Linked DNA regions of Arabidopsis thaliana. The protein of the gene in region 1 interacts with the protein of each later gene in a pairwise test. Each region holds a gene or a part of one and is shown in the gene's direction. Other genes may lie near its edges.

Region 1 (5,816 bases):
AATATACCTGTCAGTGGTATTGGGATAGGGCCTGTGCATAAGAAGGATATAATGAAGGCTGGAGTGATGCTCGAGAAGAAAAGGAATATGCTACAATTTTGGCTTTTGATGTGAAAGTGACTACAGAGGCTCGTGAACTTGCAGACGAAATGGGAGTAAAAATCTTCTGCGCTGATATCATCTATCAGTTATTCAATCAGTTTCAGGTTTACATTGAGAATATCAAAGAGGAGAAAAAGAAGGAATCAGCCGGTGAGGCAGTCTTCCCATGTGTCCTTCAGATTTTACCTAACTGTGTGTTCAATAAGAGAGACCCAATAATCCTTGGAGTTAAGGTCCACGACGGTATACTTAAGGTATCCTATTCTTACTCTGCTATATTCTCGGTAACTTGCTCACATGTCCAAGGATTCTCAATCCTTTTAACATTCGTCTTGTTTGTTTTAGATCGGAACCCCCATTTGCGTCCCGGGCAGAGAGTTCACAGATATTGGCCGCATTGCCTCTATTGAGAACAACCACAAGCCTGTTGACTATGCAGAGAAGGGCGACGAGGTGGCGATTAAGGTAATAAGGGGATCATTCCCTTCAACAACCTTTGTATAGAGAAAGAGAGAGAGAGACAAAAGTTGTTGAGGTTTCAACTTGATGCTTTTCTCTGGTTGTATAACAGATTGTTGCTTCAAATCGCGAAGAACAGAAGATGTTTGGAAGGCATTTTGACATGGAAGATGAGCTTGTGAGTCACATTTCGAGGAGATCTATCGACATACTCAAAGCTGACTACATGGTAAGTCAAGGATAAGATAAGTTGTTTCCCATCTACGTTTTCTTTGACTCATTATTCTGACCCAAAACAAATGCTCGAAATTAAAACCAATAACAATTGCAGAAAGAAATGTCGACAGAGAAATGGAAGCTCCTATTGAAACTGAAGAGAATCTTCAAGATTCCCTGAACAGTCAAATGTCTACTCTAGAGCTTAAAACACTCGCGGGCCTTGTTGTTACGTCGTGTCTGCTGCATAACGAAGGGATTTATCTTCCTGATTCGTTTTTTTAATAACTATATTAGGCTGAAATTTGTAACCCTGTTAATTAATTTAGCCAATATCAAGAAAACTCTTAATAGGTAATACTGAAATTATATAATCTTATTGAAATTCTAAATTCTCATATAAAGCATGTTATTTCGTTAAAGAGAGTTTGTTACAGACTCTGACTTATATAGAGGCCTCTTGAACCCGGTCTACACACTAAACCTTAATTAGGGTTAACTCAACCGAGCTACAATCATCATATACAGTATATTATTAGTATATATCTTCAAATAATAACCGGGAAGAAAATGTGATGCAAAATTTAAATAATGATGACTAAAGTAGCAAGATGAATTGGTGCACACAAAAAGAAAAGTAGCTAGATGATAAAAAAAAAAAGTTATAGCTAAGCCCAGGCTGTGATTTGCTCTACTATTTTCAAATTATACAAAACTGAAAGCAATACAAAATGGAAAGTAAATGAAGTGGAGACTAGTTTTTTTTTGTTCTTGTTTTTTTCCCAATTTAATCATTTTTATTTACTCACTAAATAAGTAATTAAAAATTAAGGAGAGATGGGTTGGTTATATTATTATATAATATCAACAAATATAAGAATATAATGTAGTTTTTATTACTTAAATTATCGAAATTTGTATAATCTTATTAAAAGTTAAATTATTAAAATTAAGGAGAGATGGGTTGGTTATATTATTATATAAAAATTTGTATAATTTTTGAGGAGCAACCATAGTCCAAGACCCCACCAAGGCTAAAATCACTCCGACGGCGATGGCAATAACTCTTTTTTTATCTACTCCTATAGCCATCGTTAGAGCCATCTCCCTTTACTTCATCTAGCCAAATAACTTATTTTGTGTTTTATGATCATATTTTAAAAAGTTGCATGTACCCATTACAATATAAACACCCAAAAAGTGATACTTCTTATAACTCAATAAATGTATCTAACAAAATTAGAACCTCTTTTTTGATATATTTTTTTCAAAAATATTAATTTAGAATCGTGATACAAGATTTAACACAAAATGTAATCAATGAAACGACATATAGTGTGGTCTCATAGATGTTAGTTACATGATATCTACTTTAATTAAGGTCACGATATTATTAACATGATAATTTTTCTTTTCTTTTTAATTAATTTAGCTTTGTCTATTGTTTTTTCCTAATTTTAAAAAGAAAAAGAAAAGTTGGTTGCATTCTTTTCCTAACGCCGTCTATTGTTCTTCGTCCTCGCTCGTCGTCGCGTTCTCTCTCTCAAACTCTCAGGTAAGCTTCTTCAGTTTCCCACTTTCCCTCTTACACCAATATCCAATTTTGTGTGTTTGCAAATAAATATGTGTTAAGTAATGTGGTTTCGTTTCTAGCTGCAAGTTTCTTCCTTTCCAAAGGTTTGTGTCGATCTTAAAATCCCAGAGTTTGATAAACCTAATTCTCTCCTTCCGTTTTTAATTTTGTAGAAACTTGACCTATACTAGGCCCTGAGTCTGATTGCGAGAATCGCTGACAAAAAAATGCAATTTTCTTGTGATCCTGTAAGTGAAATTGGGTGAGATTTCGATTTGGTTTGTTTTGTTTGTGCGAATTTCGCCAATGATGTTTTTGTGTGAAGGATCAAGAAGGAGATGAGCTGCCACAATATGAACACATTTATCAAAATGACTTCTCTTATCGAAAGTAAGATCCTTTCTTTGATTGCTGGCTCGTGGCTTTCGGTTATCTTCTCAGTATGCGTTGTTGTTAAGTACACATTTGTTTAACGCTTCTATAGGCACAAGAAACAAAAGGAAGAAGATATATCTATCTGCGAATGCAAGTTTGATTTCGGAGACCCTGACAGTGCTTGTGGTGAGAGATGCCTCAATGTCATTACCAACACTGAATGTACTCCTGGTTACTGCCCCTGTGGTGTCTATTGCAAGAATCAGGTTAACAACTTGAAATCTTTGCTTCCACGTTTTCATGTAATTCTAGAATCTAAGATTTGCGTTAAAGCTTGGTGATGTTCTTACAAGTTCCTATTCAAACTAATGATAATTGAGTTAAATGAATGTTAATTAGTAGTTTTACATGCTTTGCCGGTTACAGAAGTTCCAAAAATGTGAATACGCCAAAACAAAGTTGATCAAGTGTGAAGGTCGTGGTTGGGGACTAGTGGCTCTTGAAGAGATAAAGGTGAGGACTCAAAATTTATTCTTGTGTCTTTATCATGTCTGATACTCTTTACCAAGATTTATGACAATTTCCGTCACACTTCGTTGATCTAATGCAAATGGGCAAATAACATGGCTGGTGTATTCTTTTTCTTAAGTAAATAGTCAATTGGGTTTGATTAAATGACTGGTTGTATTTGATGCTATGATTTAGGCGGGGCAATTTATAATGGAGTACTGTGGTGAAGTAATATCATGGAAAGAAGCAAAGAAGAGGGCTCAAACTTATGAAACTCATGGTGAGTAGAAACTTTACAGAGATGATGAGAGTGTTGTAATGCTATAGGTGATGTTAGGTGATGTGTTAATTATGTGTTACATGAGCAGGTGTCAAGGATGCATACATTATATCTCTCAATGCATCTGAGGCTATTGATGCCACTAAGAAGGGAAGCCTTGCTAGGTTTATAAATCATTCATGGTAAAACGAACAACTGGCTTTTTACATGCTTCAAAGAAATTCATATCTATAAAACGTTCCTTATCGTTTCTTTCTCTATTTTCCTGCAGTAGACCAAATTGTGAGACGAGGAAGTGGAATGTACTGGGAGAAGTTAGGGTTGGGATCTTTGCAAAAGAGAGCATCTCTCCCCGGACCGAATTGGCTTACGACTATAATTTTGAATGGTACGGTGGTGCCAAAGTGCGTTGTCTCTGTGGTGCGGTTGCATGCTCTGGATTTCTTGGAGCCAAGTCTCGTGGCTTTCAGGCAAGTCCTTACGTTATCATCCTCATAGTATTATTTGTCAAAAATTGGGAGGAATGAAATTAATCATACTGGTCTATACCTAACCTTATACCTTTCTATCATTTCAGGAGGATACATATGTATGGGAGGATGGTGACGATCGGTAATTTTCTTTTCACTTATTTTATGCGGCATAAAAATGGTCATGGATCTTGCGAGAAAGGAATGTTTTTCATCTTGGACTGGCGATATTTTAGCCCCTCTCTTTTCTTTGTCTCCAGGTATTCAGTTGATAAAATTCCAGTCTATGATTCTGCAGAGGACGAGCTTACATCTGAGCCTTCTAAGAATGGCGAGTCCAACACAAATGAAGAGAAAGAGAAAGATATCTCAACAGAGAACCATTTGGAGTCTACTGCTCTGAATATTCAACAGCAATCAGATTCAACTCCAACTCCTATGGAGGAAGATGTCGTCACGGAGACTGTTAAAACCGAAACATCTGAAGACATGAAGCTGCTCTCACAAAATTCACAAGAAGATTCATCGCCAAAGACTGCAATTGTATCACGGGTTCACGGTAACATTTCCAAGATCAAGTCCGAATCTCTTCCGAAGAAAAGAGGCAGGCCGTTTTCAGGCGGAAAAACAAAGAATGTCGCTCAGAAGCATGTTGACATAGCGAATGTGGTTCAGCTACTAGCAACCAAAGAAGCTCAAGATGAAGTTCTCAAATACGAGGTAAAACAGTTTTTCAAGCGTATAGGTACAAATTCAAAACCTTCTCAGTATCAGATGTGTTTGGTAAATTGTTGCTTGCAGGAGGTGAAGAAGGAAGCAGCAGTACGACTCTCGTCATTGTACGACGAGATAAGGCCGGCGATTGAGGAGCATGAAAGAGATAGCCAAGACAGTGTAGCAACAAGTGTGGCGGAGAAATGGATACAAGCAAGCTGTAATAAACTCAAGGCAGAGTTTGATCTTTACTCTAGTGTAATAAAGAACATCGCTTCCACTCCCATCAAACCACAAGACACAAAGACCAAAGTCGCGGAAGCAGGAAACGAAGACCATATTAAACTCTTGGAAGCCAAATGAGAATTAGCTCGGAAGGACACCTCTAATGGACAAAAAAATATCTTAAGAACTGGAAGCTAACTTGGTTTACTTTTCACGTTTGAAAATGTAATAAATATTTTTAAAATGAGAACATTTTGTTGAAATTTAAAATTTTAGTAATCAAATTTTTATTAATCAATTCTACCAAAAAAATAAAAATTAGTAATCAAAATAATTTAATAAAGACATTTTGAATGATAAAAAAAACTTTTTTAGTTAAAATTTTATATTTATGTAAAACATATTGATCGTAGAACATCGCTTAAGGATTTTATACTATGGGGGGATGTTGTGTCCAATTATTTTACACATATTGAATTTAACACTTAAAAACAAAAATATTATGTATATTTTAAAAATTAAAATATTTTGTGTAAAATATTACTTAAAACATATTGAACGTAGAACACCGTATAAGGACTTCATACTATGGACGGGATGTTGTGTCCAATTATTTTACACATATTAAACTTTAACACTTAAAAACAAAATATTATGTATATCTAAAAAGTTAAAATATTTTGTCTAAAATATTACTTTAAAAATAAAAATAAAAACCTTATATTTTAAATAGTTATAAAAATAATATAAATGTTAAAATTTAATATGTGCAAAACATATTGAACCTAGGACACCACTAAAGGACCTCATACTATGGACGGGATGTTGTGTCCAATTATTTTACACATATTAAACTTTAACAATTAAAACCAAAATATTATGTATATTAAAA
Region 2 (8,219 bases), on another chromosome or scaffold:
ATGATAGGGTTTAAGAGGGACAAGAATGGCGGAGAAGAAGGAGAAGAAGATTTGATTGATAGTTGGCGAGAGTGGAGGAGAGGGACAAATAGAGCTGGACGATTTACAGTATTTAAATCCCTAGGGTTGTTTAACTAACCAAAACCACCCAATTTTGATTCTGATTGACCCGGGTCTTCTTTAGCCGGTTTATTCCGAACCGGGTCTTCTCTTACTAAATGACGTCACTGATTCTCTTACTAATTAAGTTCAGGTGAATTTGAGGGGAAAACAAATATTTTTGGACATGTATGTGTCTGAAAATGTGATTTTCCCTCTTTTTTTTTGATGAATATATAGTTTAAAATAAAAACTAACAAAGACATAAAAAAATGTTTTTCTCCTTTTAATCAAGTATGTATTATTTTATTTGTTCTGGTCATAATCCTAAGTGAGTGTGGTTGGTATTTTGATGAAAATTTAAAATTGTTCATTCCATAATATTTATGTCCAAGTATATATGGACGTAAATCATGTAAGCGATGATGAATCCCAATGTTAGATGACATCAAAGAATTTTGTGACCATAGGCCATATGTGTTGTGTAAATTTTGTGGGTATCTAGAGAAAGCCAACCAACAAACGCTATATGGATACTTTGACAATAAGTTCCATCCATCAGCTGCCAGTTTGTCCAAGTATCAAAATTTCATCCGAAAAGCTGATAAGCCGCCAATCTGCCCCAAGTATCTAGGAAACGACATATTCTAATGCCTAGTTGATGGGAAGAACTTTGGAGGTACACACATCACCTATCTTGAAGCTCATGAAAGCAAGTATTTTAACCTTACTTACTTTTAAATATATATGTCTCTAGCGTGTATAGCATCCCTATGTGGATCAATTTAGAGCACTAGTGAGCATTGTATGCTACCGCATAAGAAAATGCAACTACTGTTAACCATGATGATTACATCCTTATTAACATATATGACACACTGCAAAAGTCACTGGATGCGATCAAGTTAGCAGCGGTATTTTCCATGTGTCAAAAGCATACTAATATACTACAGTCAACCGTATATTGTTCTTTAGTTAAGTTAAGTAAAGACTACTCCTACTAGACAGATATTCGGTTTATGAATCCAAATCAAGTAATTGCTATGAATAGCCGTTCATTTAAGAATGAAGATAAGGGAAGTGAGTTGAAATGTTTCTTTTAACCTCATATCTTTACTTCAACTTATCACACCTTAAAAACTGGATTAGAGTTCCACTTGTCCGATTCATAGAAAAAATCTTGTATCTATCACAAAAATCTTTAACATATGTTTGATTATTTATCCACAAACTAAGCTTTTTAGGTTGAAATATTATATTATTCTAGAAAACTTCAGAACAATCCAAAACAAGTAATACCAAGGGAGCAAATCGTTGGAATTTCCTCACAAGAAAATTCTCTAGCTCATTTGAGAAAATAGGTAGTATTACTTGAAGAACCCCATTCAATAATTGAATTTATGAGCAATTCGGTTGATTTCTACCTTCATTCAAATTCTAGTCAATCTTGTCTTTTTGTTCCAATGGAATTTAATTTGGATTAACCAGAAAAATATGTCTTATACACTATACTTAACAGACTAAAAACCCAAAAATATACGTATGAACTGAAAAAAAACAAAACAAATTCCATGTAGTGAAGATTACACAAAAACTGGTAAACAACAATTATCTGAAAACAAAACTATATAAAAGAATCAGAGACTCTTGTTGAATTTTGCCCAAAAAAAAAAGACTCTTGTTGAAAATAAAATACATGACAACCGGGATTTTTTTTTTCTACAAGTGGAATTTTTATTTATTTTATTTTTAGTTTTATATGTTTTTATTAACCAGATATTAATTTTTATATACATACACACACACACTATATATGAATGTATGTATGCGGAGATATATAAGGAGACAGAGCAATAGATCTGAAAGACTTGTCATCATCTTAATAAACCCGGCGGGAAACGTAAAAAAGCCTTTTAGCTTCTCCCTCCAAAGGATCTGTTTTTTTCCCTTTTTCTCTGATTCTTCTTCCTAAACCCTAATTTCTCCAATCCACGAAATTCCCTAGCAATTTTTTTGGGGGTTTAGTGAAAGAAGGATAGAGAGAGTGAGCAAAGGTGTCTCCTTTACGAAGCCCTGTGCTTTCTCCCTCCGAATAATCTCCATGGCGTGTTTTTCTAACGAAACCCAGATCGAAATTGATGTCCACGATCTAGTGGAAGCTCCGATTCGCTACGATTCTATTGAGAGTATCTACTCTATTCCTTCATCGGCATTGTGCTGTGTTAATGCCGTTGGTTCTCACAGTCTGATGTCTAAGAAGGTTAAGGCCCAGAAGCTTCCGATGATTGAGCAATTCGAGATTGAAGGTAGCGGTGTTAGTGCTAGTGACGATTGTTGTCGTTCGGATGATTATAAGTTGCGGATTCAGCGTCCTGAGATTGTTCGCGTCTACTATCGTCGCCGTAAGAGGCCGCTACGGGAGTGTTTACTAGATCAGGCGGTGGCTGTGAAGACTGAAAGTGTGGAGCTTGATGAAATTGATTGTTTTGAGGAGAAGAAGAGAAGGAAGATTGGTAATTGTGAGTTGGTGAAATCGGGTATGGAGTCGATTGGTTTAAGAAGGTGTAAGGAAAACAATGCGTTTAGTGGGAATAAGCAAAATGGGTCATCCCGAAGGAAGGGGTCTTCTAGCAAGAATCAGGACAAGGCGACTCTGGCTTCTCGTTCAGCTAAGAAATGGGTCAGGTTAGGGTCTACCTATCATCTCTTTAACTGTTGAAATTCATGGACTTTGAAACTGTTGCGCTGTTGTTTTGCACTGATGATTTTCTTAGTTCAGACTTTGAAGACCTTTTATTGTTAGTGGGCAGACTCCTTATGATGGAGTTTTGATGTGGCAGGTTGAGTTATGATGGTGTGGATCCTACAAGTTTCATAGGGCTGCAATGCAAGGCGAGTGTTTTAACTAGACAATTGTCCACTTTAAGCTATTGCATTTTCCACTTTTTTTGTGAATGGGACATCTTAACAATTGGTTGTCGTTTAATCCCTAGGTTTTTTGGCCGCTGGACGCTCTTTGGTATGAAGGTTCCATTGTTGGATATAGTGCAGAGAGAAAGCGTTACACTGTAAGTAATTCTCTACTCTACTTGAGTTATGAGTTGGGTAGTTCTTTGAGCTATGATATATGTAAAAGCTTGTTCCTCTAACCATGATTAAATTCTTCCTTAGGTCAAATATAGGGATGGATGTGATGAGGATATAGTTTTTGATCGTGAAATGATCAAATTTTTGGTTTCTCGTGAAGAGATGGAGCTATTACATCTGAAGTTTTGTACTAGTAATGTGACTGTCGATGGCCGTGATTACGATGAGATGGTTGTATTGGCAGCTACTTTGGACGAATGCCAAGATTTTGAGCCTGGAGACATTGTATGGGCGAAACTAGCTGGTTTGTCTTAAACTGATTTCCACCTTTTATTCATATATTAAAAAAAATACCTCCTTATGCTATCAGCAAGTTGATGCTGTTGGAAGCATGTAGACAAAGAAAACTACCTACTGACTTCCATAGAACTGCATTTGCTTTCCTATTCGGACAGGTCATGCTATGTGGCCAGCAGTTATTGTAGACGAATCCATTATCGGAGAGCGGAAAGGTCTAAACAACAAGGTATCTGGAGGAGGATCACTCTTGGTCCAATTTTTTGGAACTCATGATTTTGCTAGGTTAGTCAGCGTTTCCTATATACTTAAAAAATCTCGTTTTTCTACTGAGATGTTGAGATCAATGTTACACATTATCAAGCTGAAGTTAACATCCTTTGGTTTTATAGAATAAAAGTAAAGCAAGCAATCTCATTTATCAAAGGGCTTCTTTCGCCATCTCACCTGAAGTGCAAACAACCTCGGTTTGAAGAGGGCATGCAGGAAGCAAAAATGCAAGTCCCTCTCGCTTTTCTTTGGCATTCTGCTTTCTTGACTTTCCAGTACATGTTGCATTAACAATTAGACCAATCATTTCTTCATGATGTTTCATTTTGAAACCTGGACATGTTACCTGTCCTGAAATTTCTGTTATTTTGCCTCACTCAGGTATCTGAAGGCACACAGGCTTCCAGAAAGAATGAGTCAACTTCAAAAGGGAGCTGATTCTGTTGATTCCGATATGGCTAATAGTACAGAAGAGGGAAACTCGGGTGGTGATCTTCTTAATGATGGAGAAGTGTGGTTGAGACCAACAGAACATGTAGACTTCCGGCATATAATAGGGGATCTGCTAATAATAAATCTTGGTAAGCCATGAAACTTATATATAAGTATGGTGTATAATCTTTCATTCTATGGTTCATTATTTATAGTTGGTTATAGGAAAACTCCAATGATAATATATAGGCGTATGACTTGTCTTACAGGAAAGGTTGTGACAGACTCTCAGTTTTTCAAGGATGAGAATCATATTTGGCCTGAAGGGTATACGGCGATGAGAAAGTTCACATCACTCACAGGTTATTTGTTAATCAGTTTTTGGCTTTTACTTATAAATCAGGTATTTTTCCATATTTGGTTAATTGTGATTAGTTCTCAATGTGATGTGGGTTGTTGCTTTTGGTTTTAAGCAGATCATAGTGCATCTGCCTTGTACAAGATGGAAGTGCTCAGAGATGCCGAGACAAAGACTCATCCGCTGTTTATAGTGACTGCAGATAGTGGAGAGCAGGTGAGTTAAACATATCTATTAGTATCTGTTTTATTGAACTTTCAGGTCAAGAATCTATCTCTGGCTAACATCGGTAACTAATTTTTTGGCAGTTCAAAGGGCCTACTCCATCGGCCTGCTGGAACAAAATATATAATAGGATAAAAAAGGTCCAGAATTCTGACAGTCCTAATATTTTGGGTGAAGAACTAAATGGATCTGGTACAGACATGTTTGGTCTCTCCAACCCAGAAGTCATTAAACTTGTACAGGTACCTTGTCATTGCATGTAAAATTATTTGTGGTGGTGTGCATGTGTTTTCATGATAATCTGCTTGCACATGCATTTTGGTCTCATAAAAATCATATAATTGTCTGGACACTGAATATTTTGTGGTACCCTTGCTTTTGCTTTATCTCTAAAACGTGTAAGCGGGTCTCATTTATGTTTAATATGAATGTTTGATGCACAAACCAAGTTTTCCTGTAAGACATTTAAGCTTGTGCACTAAATATTTCTATGCAGCTCTTTGCTAATTGGTTTATGGGTAGCCTAATTCGCTATTTCCGGTCTAAAGGCATATTAGAATCACATCTTCATCAATGAGACAACACTAACTTCACCTACGAAATAATCATTTCTGCCTAGTGACTATGGCTTCTTTTCTTTAATTGTTACGGTTTCTTTCTCTTCTGTAAGAAAACTGTATGAATTAAATTAACAGTTATTAATCGAAGCCAGCTTAACAAGTATTTACAGTGAGTTTCTAAGGATAAAATATGTGCATTTGGTCTATTGATTGAAAGAAAATTTGTGTTTAAGTGAAACTAAAGAGTAGAATTCTGTTCTGGAGTCTTTATAGCGAAACTCGTTTTGTAGGACATATTACCTTATATTATTTCATTAGGCAGATACCTATCAAGATGGTTGCTAGAATTTGCAAACTTTTATAATTAATTCCCTATGTACTGCTTGCCGGCGCCCTGTTTTATACAATTGCATTATTGTTTAGCTTCTAGTGTCTACACTTAATATGTGTCTCACCCTAATATACCATTACGTAGCAGGATTTATCAAAATCCAGACCATCGTCCCATGTTTCCATGTGCAAAAATAGTTTGGGAAGGCATCAAAATCAGCCTACTGGTTACCGACCTGTCCGTGTTGACTGGAAAGATCTCGATAAGTGCAATGTCTGCCACATGGATGAGGTAAAGGTTTTTTTTTTGTTTCACATGAGATTTCAAACGTTTCTCTTTAGTTAGTTCTGATTTATATATTTTTTGTCTGCAGGAGTATGAGAACAATTTGTTCCTGCAATGTGATAAATGTAGAATGATGGTATAGCTCATGCTCTGGGCTTTTTTAGCTATCATATACCTCTTAGATGTATATCTTTAGTGCCTTGTGCTCTTTCTTTCTCTTGGGTATGACTCAATTTGAATTCCTGGTCCACTACTAGGTCCATGCTAAATGCTATGGAGAGCTAGAACCCTGTGATGGTGCTTTGTGGTTATGCAACTTATGTCGTCCTGGTGCTCCTGATATGCCTCCACGGTGTTGTCTTTGTCCTGTAGTAGGTAATTTTACCGTACCATTTGGTGTATGGAGTCTATATGTGCTTTCATTAGTGAATAATTGAAACTTCTTTTAGGGGGTGCTATGAAGCCGACAACTGATGGTCGCTGGGCTCATCTGGCTTGTGCTATATGGATCCCAGGTTCAATCTTAACGATTTGTTGTTCTGTATAAGTCTGCTTTCCTACTAATAGGAGGCCGTATTACACTATTACTTTCCTATTTACAAATTAACACTTGTTATTTTATTCAGAAACATGTTTATCTGATGTCAAGAAGATGGAACCTATTGATGGGGTGAATAAAGTCAGCAAGGTACGTACTTATTTTCTTGTTCGGATTCCTTTACCTTGGTACTGTGGCCTTTTCAAAACTCTTATCCCTCTTCCTCTTTTTCTCTACTCTTAAAACTAGGATCGTTGGAAATTAATGTGCACCATCTGCGGGGTATCTTATGGAGCTTGTATCCAAGTAAGATTTCGTTCTATGTTAAGAGAAAACTGAATCATTCTTATGCATTGTTCAAGAGCTGATATATATAATTTTAAAATGACTACATTTCAGTGTTCAAACAATTCTTGTCGCGTGGCATATCATCCACTCTGCGCGCGAGCTGCTGGTCTCTGTGTTGAGGTACCTTAGGGAATAAAAAAAATTTCTTTCCCACTTACACACATGTACTCTAACACAGCAAGTCCACAAAAGAGATGTTTCTAACTGATTATTGCTTTCCTGACTCTCCATGTAGCTTGAGAATGACATGTCAGTGGAGGGTGAAGAAGCAGATCAGTGTATCCGCATGCTTTCATTCTGCAAGCGACATCGACAAACATCAACTGCCTGCCTAGGATCAGAAGACAGGATCAAATCCGCTACTCATAAAACTTCTGAGTATCTCCCACCACCTAATCCATCTGGCTGTGCTCGGACAGGTATGCAGCTACTGCGTTTATCTGTGGATGCTAAGATTAAAATTTAGATTCACACCACACTTTTGGGACAGGATTATTTCATCATTATTCTTTTACCTTGCATACGGCCATGTGTGTTTTGTTCTCTTTCATATTCTTACATATCCTCTTAAGATATCAGTTTCTTACTTTATATACAAGCATTTTTTAGATTTGATACAAAGGTCAAATTTCAGGCTTTTGTGTTTCCATTCTTTTCTACTTTTATTCGTGTTTGCATCCTATGGGTCAGTATAGATGATAATTTCCGTCTATTGTTGCAGAGCCTTATAATTGTTTTGGCAGAAGAGGGCGAAAGGAACCTGAAGCTCTTGCTGCTGCTTCTTCAAAGCGGTTATTTGTTGAGAATCAGCCATATGTTATTGGTGGTTACTCTAGACTTGAGTTTTCAACGTACAAAAGCATTCACGGATCCAAGGTGTCACAGATGAATACTCCAAGCAACATTCTTTCTATGGCTGAGAAATATAGATACATGAGGGAAACATACAGGAAGAGATTAGCATTTGGTAAGCATTCGTTATTCTTTAACTTTCAGTAAATCTTAAAAGATATTACAGGTCTTTTCAACTTCTGCTAAGATAAAAAATATAGTAGGATTTCTGTAGGATAAAAATAATTTGTAGGATTCCTTTCAGAATGATCTAGTCACATCCTAAGCTTCTTTCAGAAAAATCTTATAAAAGTTGGTTCTTTTTTTGTTTCAGGGAAATCAGGAATTCATGGTTTTGGCATTTTTGCAAAGCTTCCTCACAGGGCGGGAGATATGGTGAGCATACTCAACTTGAACTGGACATTTCATCTTTAGAAAGTGTCACTCATGGAAATATTGTATGATTCTTGTGCAGATGATTGAATATACCGGAGAACTTGTTAGACCGTCAATAGCTGACAAAAGAGAACAACTCATCTACAATTCAATGGTGGTACG
Region 3 (4,879 bases), 260 kb from region 1:
AGAGACAACAATTTTATTTTGCTTGCCTTGCTTATGTATTTGCCTTAGAATTGTTGCTTTTTGCATTAATATTGTTCTTGAGGAAACTGCGTCGGAATAGGTCAATACCGAGAGACGGCATTACAGTAAGACTACATCAACTCCAAACTACAAGTCTGTTTTGTTGATCATACAAAAGCGAAACAATTAGTTTTAGTGTTCGTATGGTTTGTTCTCATATTTCCAAGATGCATCCAAAAGTGCGTTGAGAGAAGTGAGTGGGACATGGTTATGTGTACAAGTAGATTATAACTTGATTAGTTCAATTCCCGCATCTCATATTTTTGTTCTCAACTCCATTGTTTTTCTCTCTTTTTTTAGCAATGGAATGATGATCCATAGCTTATTGTCATATATCAAAGCATTCCTTGGTTTCCATATTATCAAAACTATGAATTAGGCACAGATTTTATGCATCATGTGTAGCTAGATGATAGCATAAGTTTTTCTCTTAGCTCTTAATTCTCCCTTGGATTATGATATCACCTCCATGGCTCCATATAGACAGACAGTAATGCAAACATCAAAATATAGTAATTATCAACAACTACAACACTATAAGCCTATATAACACCCTTGCAGTTCCACGCTTCCCAGGGATCATGGCGATACTCTTCTGCTCTCTCTTTTATTGTGATGCTTCTTTGATCTCTTATAAAGTCGACATAGTCTCCAACCTCTAAGTTCCGCCGCAACTGCTCATTCATCTTCAATATGGACGGTGTCCGACGACATATATGATATGGATGAGAAGATGAAGTGGATGAGGTGGACAACAAGAAGAAATACTGCGACTTCGTGTATGAATATCCTCCCCTTAGCTTCCACGTTTTTGGCTTCTAATGACAGGGATCATAGCAAGGGTTTGGTCACATTCAAACCGTGACTCAATATCGTTAACAAGACTCTGATTCGGATAAATGCTTGGCTCATCATCATCGCACTTATTTGCATCTTCAACGAGGAGAACACAAGTCAGTTAACCATCGTTGTCTGGAGCTATGAAACTTATTCCCGCTTGCTTGGTCGCGAAAGTCTCCGCCGATGTTATGATTGCGAATGAGTGGGGCTGTGTGAGTCTTATTGTAAAATAATAATACAACTAGCTAGGTTTGGTAGACTAAAGTTATTACATGAACTTTTATTCTGATATACACATACAATATATATTTCTTTTTTCTAATGATAAACCATTATGGAAGAATACTAGCGAGAATCTTATTAGAACGAACGACTAATCAAGTAATCATAGACTAAAGAAGCTAATTAAACGACTAATCATGTCTTTATGGACCACCTTTGGGACCATTTTGATTGAACACAACTCCCCAATAGATCTGAATATCTTGGAAATAAATTGGCAATGTATTTTTAGTAAAAGCTTGTGTGAATTTTCTCTACAAAAAAGTTCTAACTTTTATTGTTTTGACATATGTTTGGGTAAGATTTAAAAAACCTATGACTTTATCGAAAAATATAAATATTTTTTTGTTTGTCAATTAAATTTTCATCGTAATCATTGAGATTAAAATAAAATAAAAAAACTAAGACCCACACAAGTCCAAATCAAACAAATTAGCAACAACAAAAAAATATAAGTTGGGAATAGCAAAATAGTATCGTTTGGGGATTTTACAATTTATTTTACTGAAAAAGAGAAAAAAAAAAAATCGGTATCTCTGAAAAAACTGACCGCCTCGCGTTGTCTCTTCCCTACTTCCTCCGATTCCTTCTCCTCTCTCTATATCTGATATCGTAATCTTCTCCGCCTCTCTAGGGTTTTCTCCGTTACTCGTGCTCCAGTTTTACGTTCGTTGGCATTCGCTCAATCGCTTCTGATTCATGAGGTTAGGGTTTCGTTATTTTCAGGAGGTGACAAGATTTTATTTTATTTTATTTAGTCTCTGTTGCGGCGTGTTTAAAATCAGAAGAGATCGGAGGGTTTTTGTCATCAATGTTGATGATTGAGCCATCCATTGTCTTGTGTTAGGTCTTTGAGTTGACCTTCTTAAGTTTTTTTTTTTTTTTTTTTTGGGGTCTCTGTTTGGTTGATTTTGTAGATCATGTTAATACGGGGCTGGGTTCTATTGAGAATCTGTTAAAGGTCTTTGAACCATTGCATAGTTTGATTTACTAAATAGCTTACTGATTTTTCATTAAAAATCCCTTTTTTTGAGAATGTTATTTGTTTGGCTTTGAATCAGGTAGCATTACGATGGACTGTAAGGAAAACGGTGTTGGTGACGCTTCTGGGTGCAATATTGATGCTAACTCTCTGGCCTCAAATCTTGCGATGAATACCAATGAAGATTTCTATGAGAAATTGAGTTCTCGTGGGCAAAATTTAGATTCAGTCAGTAGTTTGGAGATTCCTCAGACTGCTTCATCTGTAAACCATACGATTGAAGGCCAAAGGAAGTGCTTTACAGAGATTGAGCAGATGGGATACGGGAACAGTAATAGTCAAGAAGATGCTGGAAACACTGATGATGATCTATATGTTTGTTACAATGCTGATGACACTCAGGAGCAGGGAGTGGTTTCAGGTGAGCTTGAACAAAGTCAAGAATTAATTTGTGATACTGATTTACTGGTAAATTGCAACAAGCTGGATGATGGAAAGGAAAGTCAGGACACAAATGTGTCCCTTGTATCCATTTTTTCTGGGAGTATGCAAGAGAAAGAAGCTCCTCAGGCTAAAGAAGATGAAGGTTATGGTGGCACAACATTGCCTATAGGGGGCAGTGGAATAGATACGGAATCAACTTTTGTGAATGATGCACCAGAACAATTCGAGTCTTTGGAAACCACAAAGCACATAAAACCTGATGAAGTTGAAAGTGATGGTATTAGTTATAGGTTTGATGATGGAGGTAAGGAAGGAAGAAATGGACCATCGAGTGATCTAGATACTGGTTCTTCTGATGATATATCTCTCAGTCAGAGTTTTTCGTTTCCAGATTCGTTATTGGACTCTAGTGTATTTGGCTGTAGCGCCACAGAAAGTTATCTGGAGGATGCAATTGATATTGAAGGCAATGGGACTATTGTTGTATCCCCTTCATTAGCTATCACAGAAATGTTAAATAATGATGATGGTGGCCTATGTTCACATGATCTTAACAAGATCACAGTCACAGAGACGATCAATCCAGATTTGAAGTTGGTACGTGAGGATAGGCTTGACACTGATCTTTCCGTGATGAATGAAAAGATGCTAAAAAACCATGTTGGGGATTCATCAAGTGAAAGTGCCGTGGCCGCTTTGAGTATGAATAATGGTATGGCTGCTGATCTGAGAGCTGAAAATTTCAGTCAGAGTTCACCCATAGACGAAAAAACTTTAGATATGGAAGCCAATTCCCCTATTACTGACTCTTCTTTGATATGGAATTTTCCATTGAACTTTGGAAGTGGAGGAATCGAAGTCTGTAATCCTGAAAATGCAGTTGAGCCACTCAGAATAGTAGATGACAATGGCAGAATAGGTGGTGAAGTTGCTTCTGCATCAGGGAGTGATTTTTGTGAAGCTGGCATGTCTTCTTCCCGAAGGAAGGCCCGAGACGGGAAACAATGTAAAGTGGTGCAGACAAAAACGAGTGCTCGCCATCTGAGAAAATCCTCTAGAAAGAAACAATCAGAAAGAGACATTGAGTCAATTTTCAAGTGCTCAAAGCAGAAGAGGAGCTCTCTTTTAAAAACAAGTCGTTCATCTGAGTGGGGATTACCAAGCAAGACCACTGAAATCTTCTTACAGAGCAATAATATTCCCTATGATGGACCTCCGCATCATGAACCACAGAGATCTCAGGGAAATCTTAATAATGGAGAGCATAATAGAAGTTCTCATAACGGGAATGTAGAAGGATCTAACAGAAACATCCAAGCATCAAGTGGCTCTTGCCTTCGTTTGAAAGTTAAATTTGGTAAATCAGGTGGCCAAAATCCTCTGAACATTACAGTCTCTAAGGTCAGTGGTAACTCCTTACCTGGTAATGGTATTGTAAAAGCAGGAACATGTTTAGAATTGCCAGGATCAGCACATTTTGGTGAGGATAAAATGCAAACTGTGGAAACTAAAGAGGACTTGGTAGAGAAAAGCAACCCTGTGGAGAAAGTTTCATATCTTCAGTCATCTGATTCTATGAGGGATAAGAAATATAACCAAGACGCTGGGGGTTTATGTAGGAAGGTGGGTGGTGATGTTTTAGATGATGACCCACACCTTTCCTCTATTAGAATGGTTGAGGAGTGCGAGAGGGCCACTGGAACGCAGTCCCTGGACGCTGAAACTTCACCAGATTCTGAAGTTATCAACTCTGTGCCTGATTCCATTGTCAATATTGAACATAAAGAGGGTCTGCATCATGGTTTTTTTAGCACTCCAGAAGATGTGGTCAAGAAGAACAGAGTATTAGAAAAAGAAGATGAATTGCGTGCTTCAAAATCTCCTTCAGAAAATGGTTCACATCTAATTCCCAATGCAAAAAAAGCTAAACATCCGAAGTCTAAAAGTAATGGAACAAAGAAAGGTAAATCCAAGTTTTCCGAATCTGCCAAAGACGGGAGAAAAAATGAATCACATGAAGGGGTAGAGCAACGCAAATCCCTGAATACCAGTATGGGAAGGGATGATAGTGATTATCCTGAAGTAGGGAGAATAGAGTCTCACAAAACAACAGGTACTACTCTTTTAATTAGCTCTAAGAATTATTGTCCATGTTCAACACCTTTCTTGTTTCCCAAAAATTTGAGGACACTATTTTTTGCTTACGTGAAGTTGAATAGAATCTCAATGTTTTCCATTTCTTTATGATGCTTCCAATCTTTTGAAACATTT

The links. Proteins that work in one complex are often made in the same cells at the same time.
Region 2: the proteins of ASHH1 (region 1) and ATX1 interact in a two-hybrid assay, tested with the Arabidopsis thaliana proteins (one study listed by BioGRID).
Region 3: the proteins of ASHH1 (region 1) and EFS interact in a two-hybrid assay, tested with the Arabidopsis thaliana proteins (one study listed by BioGRID).

What each region holds. Positions count from the first base shown.
Region 1 is NC_003070.9:28,789,133-28,794,948, reverse strand, and holds ASHH1 (SET domain group 26), read left to right. Parts: upstream 1-2,229; 5' UTR 2,230-2,332; exon of another isoform or gene 2,333-2,523; 5' UTR 2,524-2,577; coding exon 2,578-2,598; intron 2,599-2,675; coding exon 2,676-2,740; intron 2,741-2,834; coding exon 2,835-2,991; intron 2,992-3,151; coding exon 3,152-3,238; intron 3,239-3,430; coding exon 3,431-3,515; intron 3,516-3,603; coding exon 3,604-3,697; intron 3,698-3,786; coding exon 3,787-3,985; intron 3,986-4,092; coding exon 4,093-4,127; intron 4,128-4,245; coding exon 4,246-5,062; 3' UTR 5,063-5,229; downstream 5,230-5,816. Other genes in the region: AT1G76720 (eukaryotic translation initiation factor 2 (eIF-2) family protein), read left to right, coding at 1-16, 43-356, 448-567, 674-805. UniProt on the Arabidopsis thaliana protein: Histone methyltransferase involved in regulation of flowering time. Required for the expression of the SOC1/AGL20 gene. Required for histone H3 trimethylation on 'Lys-4' (H3K4me3) at the SOC1 locus.
Region 2 is NC_003071.7:13,456,163-13,464,381, reverse strand, and holds the start of ATX1 (homologue of trithorax), read left to right. Parts: upstream 1-1,950; 5' UTR 1,951-2,200; coding exon 2,201-2,784; intron 2,785-2,939; coding exon 2,940-2,991; intron 2,992-3,092; coding exon 3,093-3,167; intron 3,168-3,270; coding exon 3,271-3,490; intron 3,491-3,641; coding exon 3,642-3,768; intron 3,769-3,875; coding exon 3,876-3,980; intron 3,981-4,134; coding exon 4,135-4,334; intron 4,335-4,454; coding exon 4,455-4,547; intron 4,548-4,661; coding exon 4,662-4,759; intron 4,760-4,851; coding exon 4,852-5,010; intron 5,011-5,806; coding exon 5,807-5,950; intron 5,951-6,032; coding exon 6,033-6,080; intron 6,081-6,201; coding exon 6,202-6,319; intron 6,320-6,393; coding exon 6,394-6,459; intron 6,460-6,570; coding exon 6,571-6,632; intron 6,633-6,731; coding exon 6,732-6,788; intron 6,789-6,881; coding exon 6,882-6,950; intron 6,951-7,065; coding exon 7,066-7,249; intron 7,250-7,551; coding exon 7,552-7,797; intron 7,798-7,995; and 4 more.
Region 3 is NC_003070.9:29,046,186-29,051,064, reverse strand, and holds the start of EFS (histone-lysine N-methyltransferase), read left to right. Parts: upstream 1-1,610; 5' UTR 1,611-1,886; intron 1,887-2,243; 5' UTR 2,244-2,254; coding exon 2,255-4,721; intron 4,722-4,879. UniProt on the Arabidopsis thaliana protein: Histone methyltransferase involved in di and tri-methylation of 'Lys-36' of histone H3 (H3K36me2 and H3K36me3). Binds to H3 already mono- or di-methylated on 'Lys-4'(H3K4me1 or H3K4me2), but not to H3K4me3.